7 linked regions of the Callithrix jacchus genome follow. The protein of the gene in region 1 binds, or shares a complex with, the protein of each later gene. Links are inferred from orthologs where the notes say so. Each region holds a gene or a part of one and is shown in the gene's direction. Other genes may lie near its edges.

The links.
Region 2: MED25 (region 1) and MED31 share a complex: the UniProt entries of both Homo sapiens proteins name them as parts of the mediator complex. The link is inferred for Callithrix jacchus from reciprocal best matches to the Homo sapiens genes MED25 and MED31.
Region 3: MED25 (region 1) and MED21 share a complex: the UniProt entries of both Homo sapiens proteins name them as parts of the mediator complex. The link is inferred for Callithrix jacchus from reciprocal best matches to the Homo sapiens genes MED25 and MED21.
Region 4: MED25 (region 1) and MED19 share a complex: the UniProt entries of both Homo sapiens proteins name them as parts of the mediator complex. The link is inferred for Callithrix jacchus from reciprocal best matches to the Homo sapiens genes MED25 and MED19.
Region 5: MED25 (region 1) and MED13L share a complex: the UniProt entries of both Homo sapiens proteins name them as parts of the mediator complex. The link is inferred for Callithrix jacchus from reciprocal best matches to the Homo sapiens genes MED25 and MED13L.
Region 6: the proteins of MED25 (region 1) and MED16 are in contact, whole or in part, in a cryo-EM structure (PDB 7EMF), measured with the Homo sapiens proteins. The link is inferred for Callithrix jacchus from reciprocal best matches to the Homo sapiens genes MED25 and MED16. Residues at the interface, in NP_112235.2 of Homo sapiens: Ala26, Asn27, Gly29, Pro30, Tyr31, Val74, Asp75, Cys76, Ala77, Pro78, Glu79, Val82, Cys84, His85, Pro87, Lys102, Phe103, Met104, Gly105, Gly106, Gly107, Gly108, Glu109, Thr120, Gln123, Leu124, Asp127, Phe128, Tyr151, Leu152; in NP_005472.2 of Homo sapiens: Cys41, Arg42, Ser92, Ser94, His113, Arg161, Lys163, Phe171, Gly172, Gly173, Lys174, Pro195, Gly485, Tyr486, Ala516, Ala517, Gln520, Val521, Thr524, Arg525, Ile554, Ala555, Ser558, Lys561, Ser562, Leu563, Leu564, Arg565, Pro566, His567.
Region 7: MED25 (region 1) and MED4 share a complex: the UniProt entries of both Homo sapiens proteins name them as parts of the mediator complex. The link is inferred for Callithrix jacchus from reciprocal best matches to the Homo sapiens genes MED25 and MED4.

The regions. Positions count from the first base shown.
Region 1 is NC_133523.1:43,604,665-43,608,164, forward strand, and holds part of MED25 (mediator of RNA polymerase II transcription subunit 25), read left to right. Parts: intron 1-175; coding exon 176-338; intron 339-473; coding exon 474-604; intron 605-889; coding exon 890-977; intron 978-1,072; coding exon 1,073-1,266; intron 1,267-1,708; coding exon 1,709-1,837; intron 1,838-2,305; coding exon 2,306-2,391; intron 2,392-2,470; coding exon 2,471-2,528; intron 2,529-2,644; coding exon 2,645-2,752; intron 2,753-3,500. UniProt on the Homo sapiens protein: Component of the Mediator complex, a coactivator involved in the regulated transcription of nearly all RNA polymerase II-dependent genes.
Region 2 is NC_133506.1:108,210,682-108,214,873, reverse strand, and holds the start of MED31 (mediator of RNA polymerase II transcription subunit 31), read left to right. Parts: upstream 1-1,392; 5' UTR 1,393-1,474; coding exon 1,475-1,502; intron 1,503-2,320; coding exon 2,321-2,398; intron 2,399-2,683; coding exon 2,684-2,780; intron 2,781-4,192. UniProt on the Homo sapiens protein: Component of the Mediator complex, a coactivator involved in the regulated transcription of nearly all RNA polymerase II-dependent genes.
Region 3 is NC_133510.1:44,217,563-44,221,541, reverse strand, and holds the end of MED21 (mediator of RNA polymerase II transcription subunit 21), read left to right. Parts: intron 1-711; coding exon 712-826; intron 827-1,096; coding exon 1,097-1,197; intron 1,198-2,063; coding exon 2,064-2,240; 3' UTR 2,241-3,479; downstream 3,480-3,979. UniProt on the Homo sapiens protein: Component of the Mediator complex, a coactivator involved in the regulated transcription of nearly all RNA polymerase II-dependent genes.
Region 4 is NC_133511.1:115,289,779-115,293,889, reverse strand, and holds the start of MED19 (mediator of RNA polymerase II transcription subunit 19), read left to right. Parts: upstream 1-1,311; 5' UTR 1,312-1,344; coding exon 1,345-1,561; intron 1,562-4,111. Other genes in the region: TMX2 (thioredoxin-related transmembrane protein 2), read right to left, coding at 721-909. UniProt on the Homo sapiens protein: Component of the Mediator complex, a coactivator involved in the regulated transcription of nearly all RNA polymerase II-dependent genes.
Region 5 is NC_133510.1:119,044,066-119,047,565, reverse strand, and holds part of MED13L (mediator of RNA polymerase II transcription subunit 13-like), read left to right. Parts: coding exon 1-357; intron 358-1,175; coding exon 1,176-1,401; intron 1,402-2,406; coding exon 2,407-2,512; intron 2,513-2,816; coding exon 2,817-2,941; intron 2,942-3,500. UniProt on the Homo sapiens protein: Component of the Mediator complex, a coactivator involved in the regulated transcription of nearly all RNA polymerase II-dependent genes.
Region 6 is NC_133523.1:834,341-838,303, reverse strand, and holds the start of MED16 (mediator of RNA polymerase II transcription subunit 16), read left to right. Parts: upstream 1-1,163; 5' UTR 1,164-1,296; intron 1,297-2,529; 5' UTR 2,530-2,689; intron 2,690-2,939; 5' UTR 2,940-2,957; coding exon 2,958-3,126; coding exon of another isoform or gene 3,127-3,170; intron 3,171-3,963. UniProt on the Homo sapiens protein: Component of the Mediator complex, a coactivator involved in the regulated transcription of nearly all RNA polymerase II-dependent genes.
Region 7 is NC_133502.1:67,843,313-67,847,416, forward strand, and holds the start of MED4 (mediator of RNA polymerase II transcription subunit 4), read left to right. Parts: upstream 1-1,304; 5' UTR 1,305-1,341; coding exon 1,342-1,466; intron 1,467-4,104. UniProt on the Homo sapiens protein: Component of the Mediator complex, a coactivator involved in the regulated transcription of nearly all RNA polymerase II-dependent genes.

The DNA.
Region 1 (3,500 bases):
TCTCCTGGGGCAGGTGATACCCAGTTTCAGAGTCTCCTGCCTCAAAGCCCAGCAGGGATTGTGGTTGTAGGGCTGGTGCCGTCTAGCCACACTGCAGCCGTGGTAGCTTGGGGGCTGGCCCCGACATCCCTATGGAGGGAGCCCCCGACATGACTGCTGGGCCCCTCTCCTGCAGCGGGGGATCCACTTCTCCATCGTGTCTCCCCGGAAGCTGCCGGCCCTTCGGCTTCTGTTTGAGAAGGCAGCTCCCCCGGCCTTGCTGGAGCCACTGCAGCCTCCGACAGATGTGAGCCAGGACCCGAGGCACATGGTGCTGGTTCGGGGCCTCGTGCTGCCTGGTGAGGCTTGGGCGCTGTTGGGGATGGGGGATCCAGGTGTTTACCCACCACCCTCTGACTTGGATTTTGGATTTCTCTCCTCTCTCTCCACCTGAACCCCTTCTCTCTGGGGTTGGCCATCCCTCCTGCTCTCAGTTGGGGGTGGCTCGGCCCCAGGCCCCCTCCAGCCAAAGCAGCCAGTCCCCCTGCCTCCTGCCGCACCCTCGGGTGCCACTCTCTCAGCAGCCCCCCAGCAGCCTCTTCCCCCTGTACCCCCGCAGTACCAGGTATGGATGTTTTCAGGAAGGGACATGCTTCTGGGGACTTGGAGGAGCCATGCCGCTGGGGAGAGATCTAGCTGGATGTTGGAGCTTGTGGGATGCTGGGAGTCCCCTTGGGACCCTGGGAGGGTGGGAGTCCTGGGACCATGGAAGCTTGCCTACAGGGTGATGGGAGTCGGGAGCTACCCCAGTTGGGCGGCTGCGCCTTGTGGGGCTGTGGGTAGTGTGGCCTCATGGGACACCAGGACTGGGGGCCGTGGTCCTCACCAGCCCCTTCCCTTCTACCCACAGGTTCCTGGGAACCTGAGTGCAGCTCAGGTGGCCGCCCAGAATGCAGTGGAGGCTGCCAAGAACCAGAAGGCTGGGCTGGGCCCTCGCTGTGAGTCCCGGGGCAAGGACGCAGGGCGGGCAGGGGCCAGGCAGGCCTCTGTCCACACACCTGTTCCCCACTTCTTCCCTTGCTCTCTCCCACAGTCTCGCCCATCACCCCTCTCCAACAAACCGCTCCTGGAGTGGGTCCCCCCTTCAGCCAGGCCCCAGCTCCCCCACTACCCCCAGGACCCCCTGGCGCCCCCAAGCCGCCACCTGCTTCCCAGCCCAGCCTGGTCTCCACCGTGGCCCCTGGCTCGGGCCTGGCTCCCACAGCACAACCCGGGGCACCATCCATGGTAGGTGCCTGCACGCCTCCTGCCCTGGCTCCTTCCTCCTGCTGCCCACAGCTAGGACAGTTAGAGGTTGAGTCATTTGCCTTCCAAGGAGATGTGGGTCTGGTGGTCCTGGGGCCTTGGGGGCTCGTGGTACGTGTGCTGCAGATGACTGAGCTGAGTGGGTCTGGGGACAGAATGTGAGGCTCATGGCTCCAGGTGGGCGAGAACTGTTCTGAGAAACCCAAGGAATTCCTGGGTCCGGGAGTCCAGGGCATCATGGGGCTTACGACTCCTCGAATCTTGCAGCGTGCAGGCATTTGGGGTCCTTGGGCTGGCCAAGTGCTATTTGGGGATTAGGTACAGAAGAAGGGGCCTTTTCTTCTTCCTGGTTTACCCTCACAGATGGCCCCCAGAGGCTCCCTCTTTCCCCATCCTCATGGCCCTCCTTCCTCCCCTCTGGCAGGCAGGCACCGTGGCCCCAGGAGGGGTGAGTGGCCCTTCCCCAGCCCAGCTGGGAGCCCCAGCCCTCGGTGGGCAGCAGTCAGTCTCCAATAAGCTTCTGGCCTGGAGTGGGGTCCTCGAGTGGCAGGAGGTGAGAGGCCTAAGGGTCCACTGGGCACTCGGAACTCCTGGGGCTGCAGGGTGGAGCACATAGGATGCATGGGGCCAGATGTGTGGGATTTGTAGTACTGGCTTTGGTGGCATTCATTGGGCTGGACTCCTGGGACTTGGGACCAGGCCAGGAGCCCCTTCAGGTGGTTGGACTTGTACTGAGGAGGGTCCTCATGCAAAGAACCCAGAAGAGCCTAGGATTTGGGGCCCTGAGAAGGGCTGGGGGCTGGCATCTGGGGAGCAGTGCATTGTGGGGTTTAGGGCTGGATGAGTAGCCCTAATATTTGAGGAGTTGAAGGCTTGGTGATCCAGATGAGGGGCCTAGGGCGCTTGAGACTTCACCTGAGGAACATACTGAGTTTTGGGGCTACCAGGGTAGGACATGAGGGCTAAGGAGGACTGAGGCTCATGGCCCTTTTCACTGTGACATGCTCTTTCTGCCCCGCAGAAACCCAAACCTGCCTCTGTGGATGCCAACACCAAGCTGACACGGTCACTGCCCTGCCAGGTCTACGTGAATCATGGCGAGAACCTGTAGGTGACTGTCAGGGGTGGGGTGCAGTAGGGCTGGGGCTGGCCCCCTCCTCACACCTCTCCTGGCATCGCCCCACAGGAAGACCGAGCAGTGGCCCCAGAAGCTGATCATGCAACTCATCCCCCAGCAGCTGCTGGTGAGTGGCGGTAGGGGCCAGCCTTGCAGTCTCTTCCCTAGTTCCTTCCCCACGCCTCGTGCCTCCTTCCTCACTTCCCCACACAAACGTGCCAGCCGACTTCTGTGTCTCCACAGACCACCCTGGGCCCTTTGTTCCGGAACTCAAGGATGGTCCAGTTCCATTTCACCAACAAGGACCTGGAGTCTCTCAAAGGCCTCTACCGCATCATGGGCAACGGCTTTGTGAGTCCAGGGCATGGGGGCCGGAGGGGCATTGACTCTTGTCCTGCTTTCTGCTGACCTTCGACAGGAATCCCCAGGGTGCCTGGGCCCACGGAAGTGGTTTTTGATGGTTGGGTGGACTTGATGTGCTTGGGTTTCTTGTCTTGCTTTGAGAGCCTTAACTTTTATTACAGTCATCATATGCATCAGATTGAGGGACATTAAATATGTCACCAGGGGCCAGGCCTGGTGGCTTATACCTGTAATCCCAGCACTTTGGGAGGCTGAGGCGGGTGGGTCACGAGGTCAGGAGTTCAAGACCATCCTGGCCAACGTGGTGAGACCCCATCTCTACTAAAAATACAAAGATTATCTGGGCATGGTGGTGCATGCCTGTAGTCGCAGCTACTCTAGAGGCAGAGGTTGCAGTGAGCCAAGATCGCACCACTACACTCCAGCCTGGTGACAGCAAGACTCAGTCTCAAAAAAAAAAAAAAAAATACATCCAGGTGCAGTGGCTCACGCCTGTAATCCCAGCACTTTGGGAGCAGATCACGAGGTTACAGATAGGCAGGTCGAGACCAGCCTGACCAAAATGGTAAAACCCCTGTCTCTACTTAAAGTACAAAAATTAACCTGGCATGGCATGGTGGTGCGCCTGTAGTCTCAGCTACTCAGGAGGCTGAGGCAGGAGAATCACTTGACCCCAGGAGGCGGTGGTTGCAGTTTGCCGAGATCGTGCCACTGCACTCCAGCCTGGGCGACAGAA
Region 2 (4,192 bases), on another chromosome or scaffold:
AGGTTGTAGATAGTAAGTGCATTTTCAAATTACCATATTTTCTACTTACAATGGGTTTATTGGGAGGTAACCCCATTGTAAGTGGAGGAGTATCTGTAGTGCCTGGCACAGAGCAGCTACTCAATAAATATGACTCTTGTCCATCTTGTTCAAACCTCAGGTCAGGTTTCAATGACTTCCTTTCACTTTCCCTTCTAAGATTATTTTTGCTTGCTGGTAGGTTTGCTATCATTTTTAACATCTAACCTACCTTAAAAAAGTATGTGAATGGGGGTGCCAGGTAAAAGAAAACCATTTACTTTGAAACATAAACAAAGGGCAATTAATAATTTATGAGTTAGTTGCTTCTCAAGCTTTTAGCAGGCATGGAATCATTCCACAGGTCATGATTTCAGTTTGGTCTGTGTTCCTAAGGGGCGAAGGTCATCGGAGGGCTTTGGATCCCAAACTCACCTGGCTCAGAGGTTCAAACAGCCTTTGTCCATCAACCCGATTTATACAGCATCCTGGGCCTGAAAACCTTTTGTGCTGGCTTCAAGTGAATATAATTCACTGGGTCAAAAGCAGGCTGGTCCAAGACGCCGCAGGATGGTCAAAAAACGTTGGCTGTGTTCAGGAACCGCAGCCTAGCTGTTTCTTACATTGATTTATGAGCTATTTCCATGAAACCGAAAAAGATTGGTCCACCTGGCAGCTGGCTGGCTGGCAACTGGAGGCCTTTCTGTCCTGGCTGAGGGCCCTGGCACCTTGGTGGCCTTTGGGAAGCAGTATCTCATCAGGCTTCTTTCTCTCGGAGGGAGGGGGTGGTGGTGGCGGCCGGCCTGGCCCGCGGGGCTGGGCTCTCCGCGCGGTGCAGAGACGTCTCCACCCGCAGGGTCCCTGACGTGGCGGGAGGTCGTTTCCGTGCGCCGCGAGGAGGCTTCCACGTGCCAGGAGGACTCCTTGAGGACGCCAGGGAGCCACTTTCCCGACGGGGAGAGGGAAGACCCCTCGCTGCGGCCCCGTGAGGTCTCCACCCATCCGGGCGGACCGTAGACGTCTCCGCGTAGCGGGAGATCCGCACCGGGGCGAAGACTGCTTGCCCCCTGGGCTGAGGCCATTCTGCCAGGCGTGAGGGGGGCCAGGGAGGCCTCTGGGCACCCCACATACCAACCGTCACCGCAGGCAGAAGAGAGAAAAACTACTGTACTACCACAGGGGGGAGAGCCACAACACGATGATGTGGAAGCATCATTGTCCTTCGAAGGCTAAAACACTAGGCTTCTGCCCCTCGGGCGCTCCCACGGCCCTGTCCCCGCCCCCTCGCCGTTCGGTAGCCAGCGGGGATGGAGCGGCCCGGGGATGGGCGGAGCCTCCCGGCCGCATATCCCACAATGCCCCGGGACCGGAAGAGGGAGCTGTGGTTTTTGGAACTTCCCTCGCCACTCTGGGCGTTTGCTCTGTCGGGCTGGTGGCGGGTTGGTGTGTGTTTGTTATGGCCGCCGCCGTCGCTATGGAGACAGGTGAGTAGCTCTCTGAGCCTGGAGTCTTCTCAGATGGAACGCTCCTAGGCCCAGACCTCTTCCCCGGGGCTTCCTTTCAGGCCTCACTCTGCAGGGTTCGTATTTGGACAGGGCGGAGAGAAGGCCCTTGTGGCGTCTAGAAAGGCTAAGGTACTTTTCGCAGTTCTCCTAATTTGGTTTGTGCCACATCTTTGCTATTCAAAAACCACCAGCTCGCCAGGGTGGGCGAGATTAAGAGAGGACTTGTGTGTTAAACCGTGTCCTCCTTGATTGGTTTTCTGCTTCTCACGAGCTTGCGTATTTGAAATACCGTCGCTAGACTTGTGTATCATTGTGCTGTTGCTGCTTCTCAGATATGCATAAACTCCACGATCTTTTAGGCTCTCTGCAGTCTCTTTTTCGGCTTGCATCCTAAGTTTTTCTTAAAGGATTCAGCGCGTAGCTTTTGCGAAACGTAATCACTGTTAACAATTGTTACAATGCATTATTAAAATAGGGGAAGCACAGTTATTACAGCTTACCTAAGTGATCACTTAAAATTCCTGCAAAGTGGTCCACGAGTTGGTAGGAATTCTGCTCTGTTTGTGTGGCTGTTTTCTTTGATGATTTCTCTTTAACTTTAGAGAAACTTCTAACTTAATCCTTTTAATCAAGGCTCCGCTTTTCTTAGATTTCGAAGAAAGGTTTATCTCCACCCACTCCCAGTTTAGGAAGACCATCTCGATATTAGTCAGGTTTCTTTATTCTTTCCTTACCACAAATCAGTATTATATACAGTGACCTTTATTTTCGATGATTTTTGCTGTCTTGTCTCCTAGATGATGCTGGAAATCGACTTCGGTTTCAATTGGAGTTGGAATTTGTGCAATGTTTAGCCAACCCAAATTACCTTAATTGTAAGTTTTTAAGCACCTCATTAAATTGAGTAGCTGTTAATTTCTGACAGAAGAGTTGCAATTCAAAATAGTATCTGCTTGTACACATTCTCAATGAAATGAAATTACACTTAGCTGGTGTATAGATGTAATTGTGTACATTGGGACTTGTATTTTGAATCCGATGTGTGTTGGTGGTGGGAGTGTTATGTAAATAGATCCTTTATATTAGGGGTAACAAATCATAGTTTAAGAATTGGTTTGACCTACAGATTTTCTTTTTTTTTTTTTTTTAATGCTTTTCAGTTCTTGCCCAAAGAGGTTACTTCAAAGACAAAGCTTTTGTTAATTATCTTAAATACTTGCTTTACTGGAAAGACCCAGAATATGCCAAGTATCTAAAGTAAGTTTAATTTTTATAATCCTAAGCATGTGTATACTTTATTATATAATAGATTTCTTAGTTTCACATTGGCAAAAATGTATTTTGAATCTCTCCACTTCTTTCAGTTGTCACCTTAATACAAGACACCCTCATCTCTAACTTGTATCACTGCAGTAATCTATTGCCTGGTTATCTCTGCTTCCACTTTTACCTTCCTGCTCCCCTCCCGCTCCCTGCAAACCAAACAAAGCAAAACAGCTTTCTACACAGAAGCCTGCTTAATCACTTAAAAATATAAATCAGAACACTTTACTTTTTTGCCTAGAATCTTTCAATGGCTTTGCATTTCCATGCGAAATAAAATCCAGTCTCTCTTTTTTGGGCCAAACCCCTCTATGATCTGGCTCTGCTTTGTCTGACCTTGTCTTTTACCGACCTCCCCATCTCCCCAGGTTTCTGATCTCAAAGAACTCACAATCTGTAAATGTTGTTTAACATTACGTAATTTCAGCCATGGGCTGAAATTAAGAACACAAAAAGAGAGTATCTGTAAGGAAGGTGTTTGGGGTTGTTGGGAGGAGTCTTACCTGAATCTTAGAACTGCTATCTTTTCTTTAAGTCCTGTTCTGTGTCAAGAACAGTGCTAAATACTTCACATGCATTTACTCATTTATGTGTATATATATGTTTACCATTCAGGTTGTTCAGCAGACACTTTCCTGTTAAAGCTTACTAAGTTGCAAGAAGTGTATTATAACCAGAAAGCAATTCCCTTTTAATGGTAAAAAAAAACAAAAAACTACACCTTGAACTCACACCTCTGCTTTGTTTTAAGCAGGTAGTCAGAAAGCAGTAGTGAACTTTTTTTTTTAAGACAAAAATTTGAGAGGAAATGTTTCAAATTTGTCTTGAAGTCACTTTTCTGTATGCAGTAACAGTTGACTCATGAAGCATATACATCTTGTGTTGCCTGCAGGACCGTTTGTATCTTTTCTGGCTTTTTATCCATTTAATAATCCAAAGAAAAGACTTTTAAAAAAGTATATTTCAACAAATGTTGTATGTATGTAGATTTACAGACTCTGTGTTGGAAGCCTTAGCCATCCGTAAGTTTAATTTTATCCATAGTGTTGCTGAGAGATGGTCATCTACACTCCGTTTGGAAGTTTCCATTGATCCCATGTGACTCTGTCAAGGACAGCTGATTCGATTGTTAGCCAGAAGTTATAAAGTTCTTCCTTATATTGTGATATAATATACTTCCTTGTAGCTTCAATCTGTCCCTGGATTAAGCTAGAACCATTCTATACCCTCTTGGGGACAACAGCCTTTTAGATATTTACATTCAAGAGAGATTGCAAATTAGCCCATTTTGGGCATTTTATTTAGTCTGCCCAAGATTTTAGTTTTTTTTTTTAATGCTTGCCAAT
Region 3 (3,979 bases), on another chromosome or scaffold:
AATTGAACAATGGCAGAGAAACCCAGTGCAAATGCTTATTAGAAATAGGAGGTTTGAGAGGTCAAGACTAGGTGAGAGAAATTGGTGGGGAGGATAGGCGTTTTTAATTTGGAGATGATAAGGAATTGCTGTTCTCAATCTTTAGAAGTACTTAAGGAGTACTTTTAGCGCACAAGAGTTTAAAACTTGAGTCTTGAACAAATATGTTTCTGATTACTTAAGGTGCTTTTCTGAGCAGCCTTTTCCCCACTATTTCTTTATGCTTGTAACTACTCCAGTTTCAGAAAAGGAATTATATACTTTGTACATGAATAATAAATTTTCATTTGACGCAATGCCATAGGTAGATATTTGCAAGTCAGATTTCCATCACTGCTCTTTTCCATCACTGTTCCCCAAAAGTCTTTACTTTTGGCTTATAATAAATATTGGCTAGTGTTCTCTTACCATTTTACTATCAAAAGAAAAGAAATATTATTTTTATTTCAACTGTTTCAACTGGGTTGATACCAAACTTAGTTTCTTTGCAGAATTAAAATGTTTAATTAACGTTATTAGTAACTGGCTTATTTTATCAGCAATTATTCCTTTCTGTTTTATTCCCTTACTCAGAGATTATGATTAAAGAAATTTATTGTTGTTGCTGTTATCAATAAAGTCCTTAAAATTGATAAGTCCTTCCTAACCTTGACATGTTTTCTTTGGCCTAAGCTTGCAGATCAGTTTTGTAATGCCATTGGAGTATTGCAGCAGTGTGGTCCTCCTGCGTCTTTTAGTAATATTCAGACAGCAATTAACAAAGACCAGCCAGCTAATCCTACAGAAGGTAAACTGGTTTTCTTAGCTTCTCTTTGACTCTCACATTTATTGTAATCCTTTCAAATTAGATTTATTGAGCAATTCGGCTTATTTTGTTTCCAAAAATTATGCTTAATTCCCAATTTGAGCTAAATGTGTAATAGGATTTGTGTATATTTTAATCATTAGAATCCTAGTGCAGAAAAAGCTATGTGAAGTTTCCAGTTTCACTAACTTAAAATTTGTTCTGAAAACTTGAGGTTTTCTAATGACCTGATCTAGCATTATCTTTCTCTAGAGTATGCCCAGCTTTTTGCAGCACTGATTGCACGAACAGCAAAAGACATTGATGTTTTGATAGATTCCCTACCCAGTGAAGAGTCTACAGCTGCTTTACAGGTAAGTCTTTATTCCTTTGAGAATTTTACCAGTAATAGAGAATTTTGAATTAAAGGAGCAAGGTTTAATACCTTTTGTCTGTGTCCATTTGTGCTGCTGTAACAGAATACCTGAGACAATAATTTATAAAGAACAGAAATTTATTTTCTCACAGTTTCTGTAGGCTGGGAGGTCCAAGATCAAGACATTTATTACTCATTGTGCATGAGTAAGACATTTTTATTTAACACAGTGCTATGTTTAGGGCCATGTTTAAGGCCATGTTGAGGGCCTTCTTTCTATTTCCTCACATGGCAGAAGGCAGAAGGACAAAAGAGCAAGAATTCCCTCTTCAACCTCAAGCCATTTTATGAGGGCACTAATTCTATGAGAGCTTTGCCTTCATGACTTAATATCCTCTTAAAGGCCCTTTCCTTCTTAATACCTTCACATTGGGGATTAGATTTTAACGTATGAATTTTGGAGGGGACACATAACGTATGAATTTTGGAGGGGACACATTCAAATCATAGCACCTTTTGTTATAATATTCAATTTTCCATTATAAGGAAACCTCTTATTTCCTCAATTGTGTCTCTTTTCCTAGTGAAGAATGAGAGGAGGGTGGCATTCTAGATGTGGAGTAGAACAATGGTGCCCAAATGTAGTGTGGAAGGGAGTCACTTACAGATATCTAGAGATTTCTAATTGAAAATTCATTCTTTTTAATAATTCAAATGAGGAAAATTCTTAGAAGTTATCTGATTTTTAGAATTTCTTTGCTGAAAAACACAATAATTGCAAAGTCATCCAGATTTAAAAATAAGTACCTCTGTGACAGCTTCCCTCGTTAACTCTAAAGATTTCAAAATTTCTGTCTTATAAAGGCTGCTAGCTTATATAAGCTAGAAGAAGAAAACCATGAAGCTGCTACATGTCTGGAAGATGTTGTTTATCGAGGAGACATGCTTCTGGAAAAGATACAAAGTGCGCTTGCTGATATTGCACAGTCACAGCTGAAGACAAGAAGTGGTACCCATAGCCAGTCTATTCCAGACTCGTAGCACCAGTGGATACCATGTGGCTGAGAAAAGAACTGTTTCAGTGCCATTAAGAATTCTGCATCAGACTTAGATAACAAGCCTTACCAACAGTTACAGAAGCATTCAACACTATGACACATGTTCCCTTTTTAGCTATTTTTAATAGTCTTCTGTTTTCACTCGTGATAAATAAGCTTATAAAATAATGATTGAACCAGCTTTAAACCGTCATACCATCATTTTTTAACTGAAATTATTAAGGCAGATGATGCATTAATAAACATAAGTAAACATATATAAAATTCTATTGTGACATGATTCATGTCTTTATTTTGTTGTCTTGGCCAGTACTTTTACAAATCAAAACATTTCTCAAGCCAGAGAAGAAGGTAGTAAGAACAGACATAAGGGACATTTTAGTTTAGGCTAGCATCCTGCCTCTTAGAGGTGGCATTGTGTAAATTTGAGCTTTGAGCAAGAAAGTTTTGGAAATTGTATTGCTTTTAAATAGAGTTAGTGTGGCTGGATAAGTAAGTCACATTTATGCAAATGTTTCTTCTTTCAGAACTTCATACCTGTTCTAGTTCATCTACACATTCTACCAAGAAATCCTCTGTCAGAATTTTCCTGCTATTGTGAAAGAATTCACCTTGTATTTTTCATCCTTCTCCTTAATTTGCTTGCATCACAGTGAAGTATGTTTTTGAATCGTCAGTTCTTTCTCAGTCTCTTTATTTATCTAAAGTTTCTTTCTTTTGCCCTTTATTAATCTCTCAACTTTTATTGCTGTATTCTAGTCAGACCCGAACATACTTTCAATACATCAGTTACTGGGCTCTATTTCACCTCAAGTTATTATTGCTAACATTTGTATCAGCATTTTCAACTATGGTTACTCATCCAACCCTTGGATCTCTTTTAGTCTAGTGATTTTCTCCACTGGAAAGGTGGAATTAAAATGTATTCACATTTTAACTGGCCATTTCCTTGGGCTATATTTTTCAGAATATCCTGAGCTACATTTGCTGTAATCTTGCTATTCAGAGTTTAAGTTTCCAGAGAAACCAAAAATACAACACTGCCTGTTATTTTTGTCATAATCAAGCTTTTCCACAGTTCTTGAAAAGTACTGTGTTTCAAATTTCAGGAACACCAGTGTTAGCTATAAAATTCGTAACAGTTTATTGGCTTGTCACAGAAAGTTTTTGAACTTTTAACTGTATTTTCATTGATGTTTATTAAAAACATTTTGCTATCACAGTTATTGTCCATAAATCTGTACTCTTCATTGTAGTTTTTGGAGGAGAGAAGATTTGATCAGAAAACTGATTTTCAAAGTACTTAAGTGTTATAAAGGAGTCAAGAAGGTACAAATAGAAAATGTCAGGCCGGGCATGGTGGCTCATGCCTATAATCCCAGGACTTTGGGAGGCTGAGGCGCGTGAATCAGGAGGTCAAGAGATCTAGACCATCCTGGTCAACAAGGTGAAACCCTGTCTCTACTAAAAATACAAAAAATTAGCTGGGCATGGTGGCGTGCGCCTATAGTCCCAGCTACTCAGGAGGCTGAGGCAGGAGAATTGCCTGAACCCAGGAGGCAGAGGTTGTGGTGAGCCGAGATCGAGCCATTGCACTCCAGCCTGGGTAATGAGCGAAACTCCGTCTCAAAAAATTTCACAACCTCTCAGAATAAAACATAATAAAATAGTAACCCTAAATTTTATTTTATTAATACATTGATAATTAAATGTTAATGATCT
Region 4 (4,111 bases), on another chromosome or scaffold:
GGTTGATTTTTTGAACAAACCCTCAGAGAGCAAGGGGAAGTTTCTCCTTGCCCCCCACGTGCTATATGGCAGAGGGCGAAGCGCTTTAAGTTAATGTTCTGAGCGGTCCCTCCACCCCTACCGAGGAAACACAGCAAGGAGCTTGGGACGGATTTTTTACGACGTATTTTTTTTTTACAATTCCTTTACAATCGCCCCAAAATTTTATCCACTTTCACATCCTCACGATCCAGCAGAGTGCCTAGAGTGTACACTCTAGAAATGTTTACTGAATTAAGAAACGGCTGACAGTGTGTGCAGCTAGTGTGGCCAGAAGAGCAGTTTCAAGTCCCAGGCACTCATTAGTTGTGTGATCTGGGGCAAGTCGCCTAAATATACCGAGATCCATTTCTTCACCAATGAAACAAGAACATTACTACTTCCCTTGTCTACCTACTGGCTCCTCAGGAGGCTTTACTTAATGAGCGGCACTGTAAAACGCTGTACACGTCTATGTAGAGTTTTCATAGGGCTGTTGATTAGTGTGAATGGTGAAATGGAAAGAAACCTGGACTCCGCAGTCAGAAGCTGTTGGGCCGCTCGCTGACTTGATGATGGTCCGGACCCTGTACTTAATAGTTTGTAAGTCCGCTACAGGCTCGGAACCTCAAGTGTCCTCAGAAAGGGAAAGCCCAGGGTTCCCAGTCAAGGTCGCGGGGTACTAAGACGCGGGACGCTCACCCAGTCAAAGTCACACGGGTTGCCGTCTTCGCGTTGGGTAGGCAGACCGTTGCAGAGCGGCGGCAGTTTCCTCACGAGTAGGAAGGCAGCAGAGAGCAGGGCCGACAGAAGGTAGTAAGGTTGGGCCAGCCATCGTGAAAGTCGCGGCACAGAATACACCAGAGCAATTAGAGGTGCCAGGATCGCCATCTTTTTGGCCGTTAGGGCCGGGGCTCATTGGCGTTGTAGGTCTGGCCCCGCCTCCCTCACCATAGAGACTGCTATTGGGCCGTATCTCAAATGTACCGCCTCTAAATCCGGATGTAGCTCTCTGGACGCTGTGGTAGGTCAGAACCCAAATAAGAATTTAACATATTATTGGTTAGTCTAGTTGTCGCTTTATCCACCTAAGTCATTTTATTGGACTGTAGCAAACGAAGCTAGCAGAAGAATCTAATAAGGTTAAATAGCACTTTCTAAACGTTCTCATAAGGCGACGGAAGTAGTTGCTGAAACAAGGTAAGCGGTGCCTGAGGCATCCAATGACAAGAGGCTCCTTGAGAAAGAGGGCGGTACCCTTAAAAGCATTGTCCAATGAAAATTACCAACGCCAGACATCTAGGCAGCGCCGAGGCGGAGGGGACGATGGAGAATTTCACGGCACTGTTCGGGGCTCAGGCTGACCCACCACCGCCCCCAACCGCACTCGGCTTCGGACCAGGAAAGCCTCCACCCCCGCCACCACCTCCTCCAGGCGGGGGTCCCGGCACGGCCCCGCCTCCCACCGCAGCCACGGCCCCTCCCGGCGCGGACAAGTCAGGAGCTGGCTGTGGCCCTTTCTACCTAATGAGGGAACTGCCAGGTGAGTACACGGCCTTGCCAAAGCCAGCCAATCAAATCTTAGAGAGGAGGTGATGGGCGTGGTTCTCAGCCGGCTAGCGGAGGTGCCAGGTAACCTAAGAAAGACAGACTCGGACTGTGGAGCCATAAGTCGGAAGCGCTGTTAGGATTCACAAGCAGAGGGATGACTTGAATTCAACCAAACGGCGGGGGAGAGGGACGGTGAATCTCCGTGACACTGGTTTATGTCTCCCTAAAAAAATGATCCAGGACTGGGCGCGGTGACTGATGCCTGTAATCCCAGCACTCTGGGAGGCGGAGGCGGGCGAATCACCTAAGGTCAGGAGTTCGAGACCAGCCTAGTCAACATGATGAAACCCCCCCTCTCTACTAAAAATACAAAAATTAGCCGGGCATGGTTGCGTATACGTTTAATCCCAGCTACTCAGGTGGCTCAGGCGGGAGAATCGCTTTGAACCCGGGAGGCGGAGGTTGCGGTGAGCCTAGATTGCTCCACTGCACTCCAGCCTGGGCGACAGAACGAGACTCCCTCTCAAAAACAAAAGATCCAGGAGATCCAGGGTTTCAGTTAGGAACTTGAGAGGCCTGATTTAATATCTTTGGGGACCCAAAGTTTTAATTTTGCTGTTGGTTTGGGGCAAGTTGCCATTATTCCTTCTAAGGTTCCGGCGTTTCCTGGTCTGTTCTAAGAAGGGATAAGAATCAAACCAAACTCTTTTCATTCAAAAATTAATTTTGTTGAGTTCCTATGTACCAAGCACTTTTGTAAATGCTTGAGATACAGTTATGAACAAGACTGACAAGATGCTTGCTTTTTTTTGGAATGTACATGTCAGTGGAGGAGGCATTGTAAACAAGATTATATCAGAGAGTGATTAATTCTAGGAGGAGAAAACATGATAAAGAATTGAAAGGGGCCAGGCGTGTTGCTCACACCTGTAATCCCAGCGCTTTGGGAGGCCCAGGCAGGAGGATCCTTTGAGTCCAGGAGTTTGAGACCAGCCTGGGCAACATGTCGAGACCCAGTCTCTACAAAACATACAAGAATAGCCAGGCACGGCAGTCCGTGCCTATAGCCCCAGCTATTGGGGAGGCTAAGGGAGGAGATTCTCTTGAACTCAGGAGGTTTCGGCTGCAGTGAACCAAGATAGTGCCACTGCACTCCAGCCTGGGCAACAGATGAGACCATCTCTCAAAAGAAAAAAATGTTGAGGGCAGAACTACTTTAGTTAGAGTGACCAGAGATGCTCTTTCCATGTAGCTAACATTTGAACTAAAATATAAGCATAGACAAAGGGCCAGCTATGGATGGATAGGAGGGAGAGATAATACTAGATACAAGTAATGAGGTCAGAAACCCTGATGTGAGAAAACGCTTAGAATATCTGAGGGACAGAAAATCAGTTGGACTCCAGTGAAGTGAACGAAAGGAAAGAGTCTTAGGAGAGAGAGACAAAAGGAAAGGTGGGAGAGTTAGGCAGAGGCCTTTATAAAGTAATAAAGGCATTTAGATGGCAAATACCAAAGGAAGCCGTTTAAAAAAAAATTTATAGAGGCAAAGTCTCACTGTGTCACCCAGGCTGGACTGCAGTGGCATAATCATAGCTCACTGTGACCTCGAATTCCTGGGCTCATGCTGTCCTCCCAGCTCAGCCTCCCAGGTAGCTAGGGCGACAGGCATGTGCCACCATGGTTGGCTAACTTAAAATTTTTCTGTAGAGATAGGGTCTTACTGTATTGTCCAAGCTGGTCTTGAACTCCTGGCCAACAGCAGTCCTCCTGCCTTGCCCTTCCAAAGTGCTGGGATTATAGACGTGAGCCACTGTGCCCAGCCAAGGAAAGCCATTTTAACACAGGAACTTGGTCAGATTTACTTATTTATAATCATTCAAGCAGCCACATGACAAATAGAAAGTGGGGAAGTCAGAGGTTACCACTCATAGTCCAGGAAAGATGATGGTTCAAACCAGGGCATAGCAGGGCATAGAGAAGTAAATGGATACAGGATGTTAGAGGTAGAGCTGATGGGGATGAAAAGTTGAATATAGGGCCAGGCGCTGTGGCTCATGCCAGTAATCCCAACACTTTGGGAGGCCGAGGTGGGAGAATATCTTGAGCCCGAAAGTTTGAGACAAGCCTGGGAAACATAATGAGACACATCTCTACAAAAAATAAATATAATTTAGCTAGGCATAGTGATGTGTGCCTGTAGTCTCAGCTACTTAGGCGGCTGAGGTGATAGAATTACTTGAGCCCAGGAAGTTGAGGCTGCAGTGAGCCGTGACTGCACCACTGCACTCCAGCCTGGATAATAGGGGAAGAAGTGAAGGAGAGAGTAAAGTGAAGGAATGATGTCTTCTTAAGTTTTCACCTTGAATAATTAGGTGTATGGGTATGGAGACTTGGAAGATGAGGAAGGAACAAGTTTGAAGAGGTGGAAATCAAGTTTTCTGGACATGTTAGGTCTCCAAGATGCCTTTCATTATCTCAAGTCTTATTTCCACATCATGACTTGAGGGAAATAATAACAAATATTGGTATGGTACTCTGA
Region 5 (3,500 bases), on another chromosome or scaffold:
ATCCCCTCTGCCGCCAACACTCAGCCCTCAGCCACGAGGCCAGGAAACAGAGAGTTTGGACCCACCATCAGTCCCTGTGAATCCAGCCCTCTATGGAAATGGGCTAGAACTCCAGCAGTTGTCTACTCTGGATGACAGAACTGTCCTCGTAGGCCAAAGACTGCCTCTCATGGCAGAGGTCAGCGAGACAGCCTTATATTGTGGGATTAGGCCCTCGAACCCAGAGTCATCAGATAAGTGGTGGCATAGTTATCGTCTCCCTCCCTGTGATGATACTGAGTTCAGGCCTCCAGAGCTCCAGGGTGAGAGATGTGATGCCAAAATGGAGGTAAACTCAGAGAGCACTGCATTGCAAAGGTAAGACAGCTCTCTGCACCACGTACCCATCCACTGGAAGGCTATGGGCTCCCTCCCCATCTCTCCCTGCTAAACATAAGGTTCAAAATTGAAGCCGACTTTTCTTTGTCCTTCTTGACTCTGCATATGGAAGATGTTTAATGGTCCAATGCTTTGTTCTACGTACAGCATAGCACACATGTCATTTAAACACACGGGCATATAAAGACCTCTTTGTGCCATGTTAGTAGACTCAGAATATATTAATATATTTTTGGCCTATTGTTTGTTAATTAAAGAATACAGCTTTATGAGGCCTTCTATATTGCTACCAGTGCCTTCTTTGTATGTTGACATTTTTGAGGAAGGCTTTGCCTGCACTCGAGTGTGTGTATCATGTATCTAGTATAATATTTACAGTGCTTTTGGTCCACTCATTCTAAACACTTTTCATAGATTAACTCATTTAATCTTTACCATATCATATTATTATGGTAATTTTATAACTGAGAAACTAGGGCCATGCAGTTAGTAAATGACACAGATGGAGTTTGAACCTAGGCGGTTTGTCTTGAGAACCTGTGCTCTTAAGTGAAATTCATGGACCCAGAGACGAAAACATATATTCTTGAAAAAGTATACTTACTAATTTTTATTTAATCACGAATATAAACTATAAAAGCAAATCACCATATAGGTGAATTTTTAGTTTTTTTTTTTTTTTTTTTTTACAAAAAGTTTAAGCTTTGTAAATGCTTTGTCATAATGCCTTTTTTTTTTTTTTAAAGAAACGCACTTAACCTTGTTTACCTTGTTTCAATTGTCATTTTGTCTTTTAGACTCTTAGCACAACCTAACAAACGGTTTAAAATCTGGCAAGACAAACAGCCGCAGATGCAGCCACTCCACTTCCTTGACCCATTGCCTCTATCACAACAACCTGGAGACAGTTTGGGAGAAGTGAATGACCCATACACCTTTGAAGATGGTGACATAAAATACATCTTTACAGCCAACAAGAAATGCAAACAAGGAACGGAGAAAGATTCCCTGAAAAAGAATAAGGTACCATTTAACAGAGAGAGAGTCCAGCACGTGTGGGTTTCTATCTATGTCAGTAAAACACGTGTGGGAAGACTTTGGAGGCAGAACATTTCAGATAGTCTTGCCTGATTGCTCTGTCCCCATATTCATGCTCTTGGTACTATTGTATTGAACAGCGTATTGTTCCTTTTTATGTCATGGCTCACCTTTTTTTAAAAGTCAGCCGAACATAAATGAAGCCTCATATTTTCCAGGCTATAGCTTGTACAGTGCATGTTTCCTCTCATATGCTAATTCTTGTTGGCCTATGCTCCCTGCTTATTTCTTTTAAAATATTATTCCAGAGTACCCAAAATGTAAAGGGAAAAATGTTGATCATAGTATGTATATACAGTTTATCAAGCGCTTATTATCCTCACTGTGCTGAGCGCTATACCTGTGTATTCTCTGGACTCATACCAGCTCTACCCATAGACTATCAGTATTAATTTTACTGGTTTCATTATTATAAAAATGAGTACTGGTTGTGTCTGCTGTCTTTAATTTCAAATTTTCAGACATTCTAAAATACTGGGCCATCAAAAGAGGTATTCTTGAGAATCAAGGAAGTAAGACAATTATAAGAGGCCAGTATACTTCAGGGGAATGATTTTTAGATTGTTTTATACTGATCTCCCTAGATCCAGAAGGCTTAATCTATACTTCATCATCTAAAATGTTGTTAAAGGCAGCTTTTAATATCATGGCATCATTTAATATCAAATGCCACCAGTACTCGTTAGGCATAAAAAACGGATTCACTCAGAATACCCCATAGGATTGAGGGGAAAGTGGGGAGCTCATGGTTCTGTTAAAATTCTGGAGAAAGGACCTATCTTTTATTTCCTTTGGTTGCATAGACCATGGTTTATCATACTTGTGCTCATAACAAGTTCCATTCTACCCTCTAATTCTTTGTGTTCTCCCTCATATTTCACACTTTGGGTTGGTGTTCATGTGTTTTGTTTGGCTGAATTTATTATACAGTCAGAGGATGGATTTGGTACCAAGGATGTCACTACACCAGGTCATTCCACGCCGGTGCCTGATGGGAAAAATGCCATGTCTATTTTCAGTTCTGCTACTAAAACAGGTGTGTACAATGATTATTTGCCTCACTTGGATTGTTGCTAAAATAAAATGCAAGGGAGATGCTTCTCAATATAAAATTTTATTCTTATTGTAATAAGAATTTCATCTCATCTTTAATATATTTTATAGTTTTTCAGTTCCTTTCAAAACTGATAAACATATTTGGAAATAATTGTTTCTAAATTTAACTAAAACCATAGGGAAAAACTCAGGCAGGTCATGTTCATTGAGATCCGTGTCCCCTCCCCACTCCTTTGCACTTGGTGGAGTTGTTTATTCTGTTTCTTTTGCTTCCTTTCCTACAGATGTCCGGCAGGATAATGCTGCTGGCAGAGCTGGCTCCAGTAGCCTTACGCAGGTAACAGATTTGGCACCTTCCCTGCATGACTTAGACAACATCTTTGATAATTCTGATGACGACGAACTTGGGGTGAGTTTGCCATAGCTACATGCACAGAAATTTCGCTATATGAAAGGATTTCATGTCGCTGTTGTAGTATTTCTTTATAGCTTGGTCTACTGAATTTGGGGGCTCTTATTTCAGGTTCTGAATGTTCTTTATAAATGTCTGTATACTGGAGTCTAGTCACACTGTATATTGAAAAAAAGTTTATATACTTGGAAAATATTGTAAAGATTATTATTGTAGTGTACCCCCCTCTAGAATTTTGTTCATTGAAGGATCTTTTTCATTAGTGTCTCCAGTTATAAGTACTAAAAGTCTTTTCACATTCATTTTAATAAATTCTTCTAAATACCATTGGAGTATTAGAAATATATTGTCCCTTAGATTTGATTTTTAAAGTAATGCCCACATAAATTTTTATTCATCTAATAAGTCAGAGGTTAGATATGAAAATATAATCTATACTTTTTAAGATCATGGCATAATGGTAGGGAAATAGAATTTATATACATAGAAGTTAAATAATACAAGGCATCATATGATTTAAATGACAGAGAGGAATAATTGTAATTATTTGGAGATC
Region 6 (3,963 bases), about 43 Mb from region 1:
AAAGAAAAGCACAACATGCATTGCATTAAACTGGCTCGTGGAGGTGGAGGTGGAAATGGGGTTGGAGGTAGGAACATTCCTCAGCGGGACTGGTGACTTCAGATAAAGGAGCCTCAGTTTCTCCAATCTTGGAGACTAGAAAACGGAAGAAATGGCCGGGCGCGGTGGCTGACGCCTGTAATCCCAGCACTCTGGGAGGCCGAGGCGGGTGGATCACGAGGTCAAGAGATCGAGACCATCCTGGTCAACATGGTGAAACCCCGTCTCTACTAAAAATACAAAAAATTAGCTGGGCATGGTGGCGCGTGCCTGTAATCCCAGCTACTCGGGAGGCTGAGGCAGGAGAATTGCCTGAACCCGGGAGGCGGAGGTTGCGGTGAGCCGAGATCGCGCCATTGCACTCCAGCCTGGGTAACAAGAGCGAAACTCCCGTCTCAAAAAAAAAAAAAATTTAAATTAAATTAAAAAAACATAAAATCAAAACCATAGTGTTCTCCTGTGTATGCAGCAGGCGCTCAATATGTGCTCCTGCGGAGCGTTTACTTACTTATTTACGGTAGCTCGAGGGCCACAGGGGCAGGTGGCGGGGCGCCACAACTAAGTGGGGACGGCCAGATTGTTCTCCAGTCGCCGACCTTAGTGGTGCAACAGGAAACGAAAAGGGGAAGGCGATGGCGTCACCGCACCAGTGACGTCATTGCAGGATGGCGGAAGGGAGGGGCCCTGTGACGTCATTGCGGGCTCGCGGAAGGGAGGGGCCCTGTGACGTCATTGCGGGCTCGCGGAAGGGAAGCAAAAATATGGAACGCTTCACGAATTTGCGTGTCATCCTTGCGCAGGGGCCATGCTAATCTTCTCTGTATCGTTCCAATTTTAGTATATGTGCTGCCGAAGCGAGCACGATTGAGCTGCCGCACCGGGACCTATTTATAGCCTCTATAGTCAACTCCTCTACACATAGGGTGACTTTTGTTAAATGCTATAGACGCCCAACCTGTATTTCCGTGGTCTGACGTGTAATCCAACCAACGCAGTTATTAACTGGAGCTGGGAAAGTGCTTATTCCACCAAATATAGTTACGGTGGCTTTTGGGAATCACTGGAAATGCTCGCATGCAAATATACCCGGAAGCGGGGCGGAGCCTAGGCCGCGCCGCCGTCCCAGAAGTCTTTGGGAGGCGGCGGCGCGGGCCAGGCAACTCGTTGGTCCCAGGGAAGATGGCGGCGCCGGAGCCGAGGCATTAGGGAAATTTCGCGCCGCGGACGCCCGCTGGTCTTGGCGCACCGGCCGGCCAGGTGAGCGCGGGGCTGCGGGGGCCGGCCGGGGGCGGGACGGATTCCCGGTGGCGTCTGCTGCCCCAGGGAACGCGGCGCGGCGGAGGCGGGGCCTGCAGGGTTAGGGGGCGTGTCCGGAAGCAAAGGCTGCTGGGTAGGCGGCTTTCGGCCCCAGGGTCTGCAGCTTGCGGCGGAAACTCCGAAGCAGCCGGAGGCCCGCGGGGCGGGGCGGGGCTAGGGGCGGGGTCTGAAGGGAGTTTTGGGCGGGGCTGAAGGCGCTTGGTGGGACTTAGGGGGCGGGGCTTGTGGGTTTGGGGGCCCCGGCATGGAGCCTGGGAACTGGATAGCTATATGGATGAAACCTGGAGAGTTGGGTTCCCTGGGGTGGACCGTGGAGATTGGAGGTCATAGGGGCGGAGCCTGTAGACGCCATGGGGTCCCTGGGATGAAGCCTGCTGTTTGGGGGCAATAGGGAAAGGGCCTGGAGACTACATGGGGTTCCTGGAGGGGAACCTGGGGACTGGGGAGTTTTAGGGGTGGGGCCTGGAGAGCCAAGGCTGTCGGAGGCTGGACCTGGGGAGGTCAGCCAACATGGGACCCCTAGGGTGAAGCCTGAGAATTTAGGCTGAGGCCATGGGCCCCAGGGGTGGTTTGAAGTGGGGGAAGCAAGAGGTGTCAGGGGCTGACTTTAAGGGGTGTCTGGCGGAGCCCTGGGGGTCTGGGGCAGACCCTGAAGTAGGCAGCCCCGGATAGGGTTTGAGGAAAACCGCCTGGTGGTCCTTCCAGCCTCACTGGGTTTTTGCCTTTGTGAAGCAGAAACAGTCTGTCCAGATGCTGGGCGCTTAGAAAGCCCGAAGGAAACAGGGCCGGGCGCCTGTAATCCCAGCACTCTGGGAGGCCGAGGCGGGTGGATCACGAGGTCAAGAGATCGAGACCATCCCGGTCAACGTGGTGAAACCCCGTCTCTACTAAAGATACAAAAATTAGCTGGGCATGGTGGCGCGTGCCTGTGATCCCAGCTACTCGGGAGGCTGAGGCAGGAGAATTGCTTGAACCCAGGAGGCGGAGGTTGCGGTGAGCCGAGATCGCGCCATTGCACTCCAGCCTGGGTAACAAGAGCGAGACTCCGTCTCAAAAAAAAGCAAGCCCCTAGGAAATGCTCCCTCTGTTGCCTGTCACACTCACCAAGCCCCTTCGCCCCAGAACGCCTGCCCGCCTTGGCCACAGGCAGCCCCACCATATGCCTGTTTGTAGGCCCTTCCTTCAAAAGAGACCCAGCGTCCTCCTGCTGCCGCCATCATCACTCACCTGGGCCAGTGCAGACCCTCCGCCGCTTCTTCGGCTGTGCCCTTGGCCCCCCCCCCCCGCCCCGATCTGTTACCCAGATAGCCAGAGGGGCCCTGGTGAAATCCAAGTAAGTCCCAGCCCTCCTGGGCTCCCACCCCGCTCAGGGTAAAAGCCCACAGGCCCTGACCTCTCCACACCCCCTTCAGCCCCAGCCCCGTGGGCTGCCGGGAACGCCCCAGGCTCTTTCTGGCCTCCGGGCCTTTGCACCTGCCGTTCCTTCGACTGCCTGCCTGTGGTTTTCCCGTATCCGGCCTGGCACTCCACGTGCCCTGGAAGCTCAGTCCACACAGACGACCAGCCAGACCTCCCTCCCGCAGGAGCTGGTGACTGCCCTCATGTGTGACTTGCGGCGGCCGGCAGCAGGTGGGATGATGGACTTGGCCTACGTCTGTGAGTGGGAGAAATGGTCCAAGAGCACGCACTGCCCGTCGGTGCCCCTGGCCTGCGCCTGGTCCTGCCGAAACCTCATCGCCTTCACCATGGACCTGCGCAGCGACGACCAGGGTGCGCCCCCTCCCGCCCACGTGGCGTCCCACCCTTTTCCCCAGGTACCCGGCACCCTGCCTTGCGGGGATCCAGTCTTGCAGGACACCCCTCACTCTCTAACGTGGGTGAGAGCCTCAGCCTCCTGGAGGTGCAGAGGGTGGATTCAGTGCTCCCCACACCTGGTGCCGGGAGACGTGAGGTCCCCACTCTGTGGGATCGAACGGGGCTGGGGTGGTGGTTGACGCAGGCATGTTAGGGACACCTGCCCCAGGTTTCCAGATGGTGTGGGTCACTGTTTGGTTTTTGAAAGGCACCTGGTGGCCGGGCGTGGTGGCTCATGCCTGTAATCCCAGCACTTTGGGAGGCCGAGGCGGGTGGATCACAAGGTCAAGAGATCGAGACCATCCTGGTCAACATGGTGAAACCCCGTCTCTACTAAAGATACAAAAATTAGCTGGGCACGGTGGCATGTGCCTGTAATCCCAGCTGCTCGGGAGGCTGAGGCAGGAGAATTGCCTGAACCCAGGAGGCGGAGGTTGCGGTGAGCCGAGATCGCACCATTGCACTCCTGCCTGGGTAATAAGAGCGAAACTCCGTCTCAAAAAAAAAAGAAAGGTACGTGGTGGCTGCACTCATTTTCTCTCTATTGCTCCAGTATATGCACCTGTAATATGTGCTCAATAGAGAAGATTAGAAAACCACAGGAAATTAGAATCAAACCAGGGTGAGAAAAGCCACCTTTCACCTTCTGTGGAGGAGCCTGCTTTCAAATTTTGGGTCATTTTCTTCTAGTCTGGTTTTAAAAACGTGGTCGTGGCGCATCACGGGCCTTTTCTGTTCCGGGGCGGCGGTGGG
Region 7 (4,104 bases), on another chromosome or scaffold:
AAAAGTCACTTCACAGAAGCTTCTCATGGCTGCTTGAGAAACACTAGGCCCAGGGCCAGGCATGGGTACTCACGCCTATAACCCCAGCATTCTGGGAAGCCAAGGGGGGTGGGGGGGTGGATCACTTGAAGTCAGGAGTTCGAGACCAGCATGGCCAACATGGCGAAACCCTATCTGTACCAAAAATACAAAAATTAGCTGGAAGCGTGGCACGTGCCTGTAATCCCAACTATTCGTTAGGCTGACGCAGGAGAAGCGCTTGAACCGGAGAGGCGGAGACTGTAGCTAGTCGAGATTGCAACCATGCACTCCAGTCTGGGCAACAGAGTGAAACCCGTCAAAAAAAAAAAAAAAAAAAGAAGGAAGGAAAGAGAGAGAGAGAGAGGGCGGGGGGTAGGGAGAGAGAAAAGGAAGGAAAGGAGGAAAGGAGGGGAGGAGAGGGGAGGGGAGGGGAGGGGAGGGAAGAGGGAGAGGGATGGGGAGGGGGGAGGGGAGGGGAAGAGAGAGAGGGGTGGGGAGGGGGGAGGGGAGGGGAGGGAAGAGGGAGAGGGATGGGGAGGGGGGAGGGGAGGGAAGAGGGAGAGGGATGGGGAGGGGGGAGGGGAGGGGAAGAGAGAGAGGGATGGGGAGGGGGGAGGGGAGGGGAGGGAAGAGGGAGAGGGATGGGGAGGGGGGAGGGGAGGGAAGAGGGAGAGGGAGAGGGATGGGGAGGGGGGAGGGGAGGGAAGAGGGAGAGGGATGGGGAGGGGGGAGGGGAGGGGAGGTAAGAGGGAGAGGGATGGGGAGGGAAGAGGGAGAGGGATGGGGAGGGGGGAGGGGAGGGGAGGGAAGAGGGAGAGGGATGGGGAGGGGGAGGGGAGGGGAGGTAAGAGGGAGAGGGATGGGGAGGGGGAGGGGAGGGGAGGTAAGAGGGAGAGGGATGGGGAGGGGGGAAGGGAGGGGGGAGGGGGGAGGGAGAAGGGAGGGGAGGGGAGGAGGGGAGAGGAGAAAAGAAAAGAGAGAAAAGAAAAGAAAAGAAAAGAAAAGAAAAAAGAAAAGAAAAGAAAAGAAAAGAAAAGAAAAGAAAAGAAAGAAAAAAACATTATGCCCAGGAGAATCAGACTCTGGTCTACCCCTTGTTCTCGGTTCGGCTGTCGCTCCCAAGGTTTCTACCGGAAAGCCCTCGCTGGCCCAGCAGATGGCGCCGGTGTCCGCAGTGCGCCTCCAGGCGCACAGGGGGCGGTCTCGCCAGGGCTTTCATTCCTTCACTGGGTGACTCTTCTGCCTTCCGAGCCTGCCTACCCGCCACGCCCCTGCGTCAGCATGCACTGCGCGTGCGCCAGCGGCGGGACGGTCGGGAGTATGGCTGCGTCTTCGAGTGGTGAGAAGGAGAAGGAGCGGCTGGGAGGCGGCTTGGGAGTGGCAAGTGGTAACAGCACACGAGAGCGGCTGCTGTCTGCGCTTGAGGATTTGGAAGTCCTGTCTAGGTAATGGCTCGAGCCTTAGAGCCGGGCTGGAGCTGGGCCGGGGAACTGACCCCGGCCGGCCCTTGATTTGCGCTAGTTCTCTGCGCTTGGCGGGGAGGGCCGGCGCGGGAGTTTCGGGTGCACGATGGTCCTGGACGTGGGGTCCGCAGCCCTTTGGCACTCTGGGCGGCGGTTTTTCCCGATAGAGGGAATTTTAATAATGATAGTAATCGTGGAAATTAAGAAATTGCGCGGTCGGAGCCCCCTTCGTCCACGGCCGGCCACTTAACATTTATGGAACGCCCCTTGGGTGCCAGCCACTGGGGTCTTGAAGGGTAGGCTGGATGCCAGAGACAGACAGATGTGTAAACTGGAGTGGGGCCTGTTTTATTAGAGGGCTGCACACAGGCACCCTGAAGAAAGGGCTGCTTGGGAAGCATGAGCTGGCAGACTCACTAGGCAGCAGGTAGATGGAACGGCATGTGCAAAAGCCTGGCTTGGTGGGGTTGCAAATTGTTTGGGATGGTTGTGTGGCAGAGGTAGGAGACGAAATTAGATGTCACTCTTCATATTCTGTTACTTTTCATGATAAGTATCTCAAGTTGAAGTCTTCCTTGACTCTCTCACATTGGCTTGCGTGGTAAATTATCTTGGTTCTTCTACCTCCTAAAATGTGACTCAGAGTTGCCGTCTCGTATCTACTCCGCTGTTAATAACTGCTACTTAAATGCAGCCTCCCAGTTTTAATTGCCTCATGCTTCTGCACTTTATCCTTTTATATTGGCCGAGACCAGTTTTAAAAGGCATGTTATATCATTTTACTGCAGAAAAATGATATAAAACCTATATCGTTGGTAGGTTTGCATTGTCCAGTGAGGTAAAGTTCAAATTCCTTAGCCAGACTTACACATCTTCAGTGCAAATCCCAGTCTACCCTCAATTTGGTGGATGATTCATTTATCCTTCAGAATCCAGCTCAAATGTCACCTTTTCTGTAGCCAACATTCTTTGACAGCTTTAGAATAAATCTTATCTATTGTATTTTAAAATATACCTGATCTACTTATAATCGGCACTTTATGGTGTTAAATTTAGTCTTTGCCACAACATTACTACCAAGTTACCAGGTCAGCATGATATTTAATGATGGAAGAGAACCCTAAAACACATAGACACCAGAAATTAAATGGCTATGTGTTTAATCCACTGTTTAAAATAAACTGTATTAGGGCCGGGTATGGTGGCTCATGCCTGTAATCCCACCACTTTGGGAGGCCAAGGTGAGTGGATTGTTGGAACTTCTTCACAGAATGAAACTGCTCTGATGTGAATGACTTCCAGAAAAGTGTCGTGTGCTCACTCAGACATAGTTATGTGTACCGATTCTGTGATCTGTGAAGTTTGTCAGTTTCTGAATGGAATTTGTGTCTGGATTGCATTTATGAAAATGAGAAGAAAATTCACAAATGTACCTTACATATTTTTAGGTTGAGCATCTTTAAAAACAGTGGATTCGTAACTTAGGGTTTTTTTGTTTTGTTTTTAATACATATTTTATTGCGTTTTAGATTTTGGGGCACATGTGAAGAACATGCAAGATTGTTGCATAGGTACATACATGGCAATGTGGTTTGCTGCCTTCCTCCCCATCACCTATATCTGGCGTTTCTCCCCATGTTATCCCTCCCTGTTTTTTTTTTTTTAAAACTATTAACCTGATTATGTAGCCTTTCAGGATATTTATTACTTTGTAAAATGTAATTGGAGGAGGTAGTCTTTGGAGGAATTTAAAAAGTTGAAACACAAGTTGTAGCTAAACGTTTTTCTTTTTTCTTTTTTTTTTTGGGACAGAGTCTCGCTCTGTCACCCAGGCTGGAGTGTAGTGGCATGGTCTTGGCTCACTGCAACCCTTGCCTTCCAGGTTCAAGAGATTCTCCTGCCTCAGCCTCCTGAATAGCTGGGATTACAAACACCTGTCACTATACCTGGCTAATTTTTGTATTTTTAGTAGAGATGAGGTTTCACTATCTTGGCCAGGCTGGTCTTGAACTCCTGACCTTGTGATCCACTCACCTCAACCTCTCAGAGTGCTGGGATTACAGGTGTGAGCCACCGAGCCCGGGCACTAAACGATTTCTCTTAACCTGTTTGTAACTCAGAACTCATTGTCCCGCAGAACCATGTTGATAGGAGTCTTGAGATTTCCACACCAGCCTGTTAATTCTGTTTACCTGAAAAGTGTATTGCCACTAATAATGTAGGCTCTAACCCCTATGGAAATTTTATTTCTGTGGGGAAATGGGGCTGGATTCTAATGTAGTATACCAGGAATGCACCTTCTTTGTAGCAGGACAGGGCTCTAATTTCCACATCTTTAACCAGACAGAATGAGTGTGGGCTTTCTTTGGCCTTTTTTCCACGATTGGAGAGGACATAGGTTTCCATCTTGTCCTGGACTGTTACAGAACATGATTAAGTCTTAGAGACTTCTACCTCCCCTGTACTCCTGTCCCTAAATCAAGCCTTATAAAGCTTTCTGTAGACTCATACTCCCAGATTTGCAAGAACAGAGAAAGGCTTATCCCACATCTCCTGCCATAGCCCCACTCCAGTGAGCACCACCCTTACCCCACCTGAAACCAGCTTTTACTTAGACCAG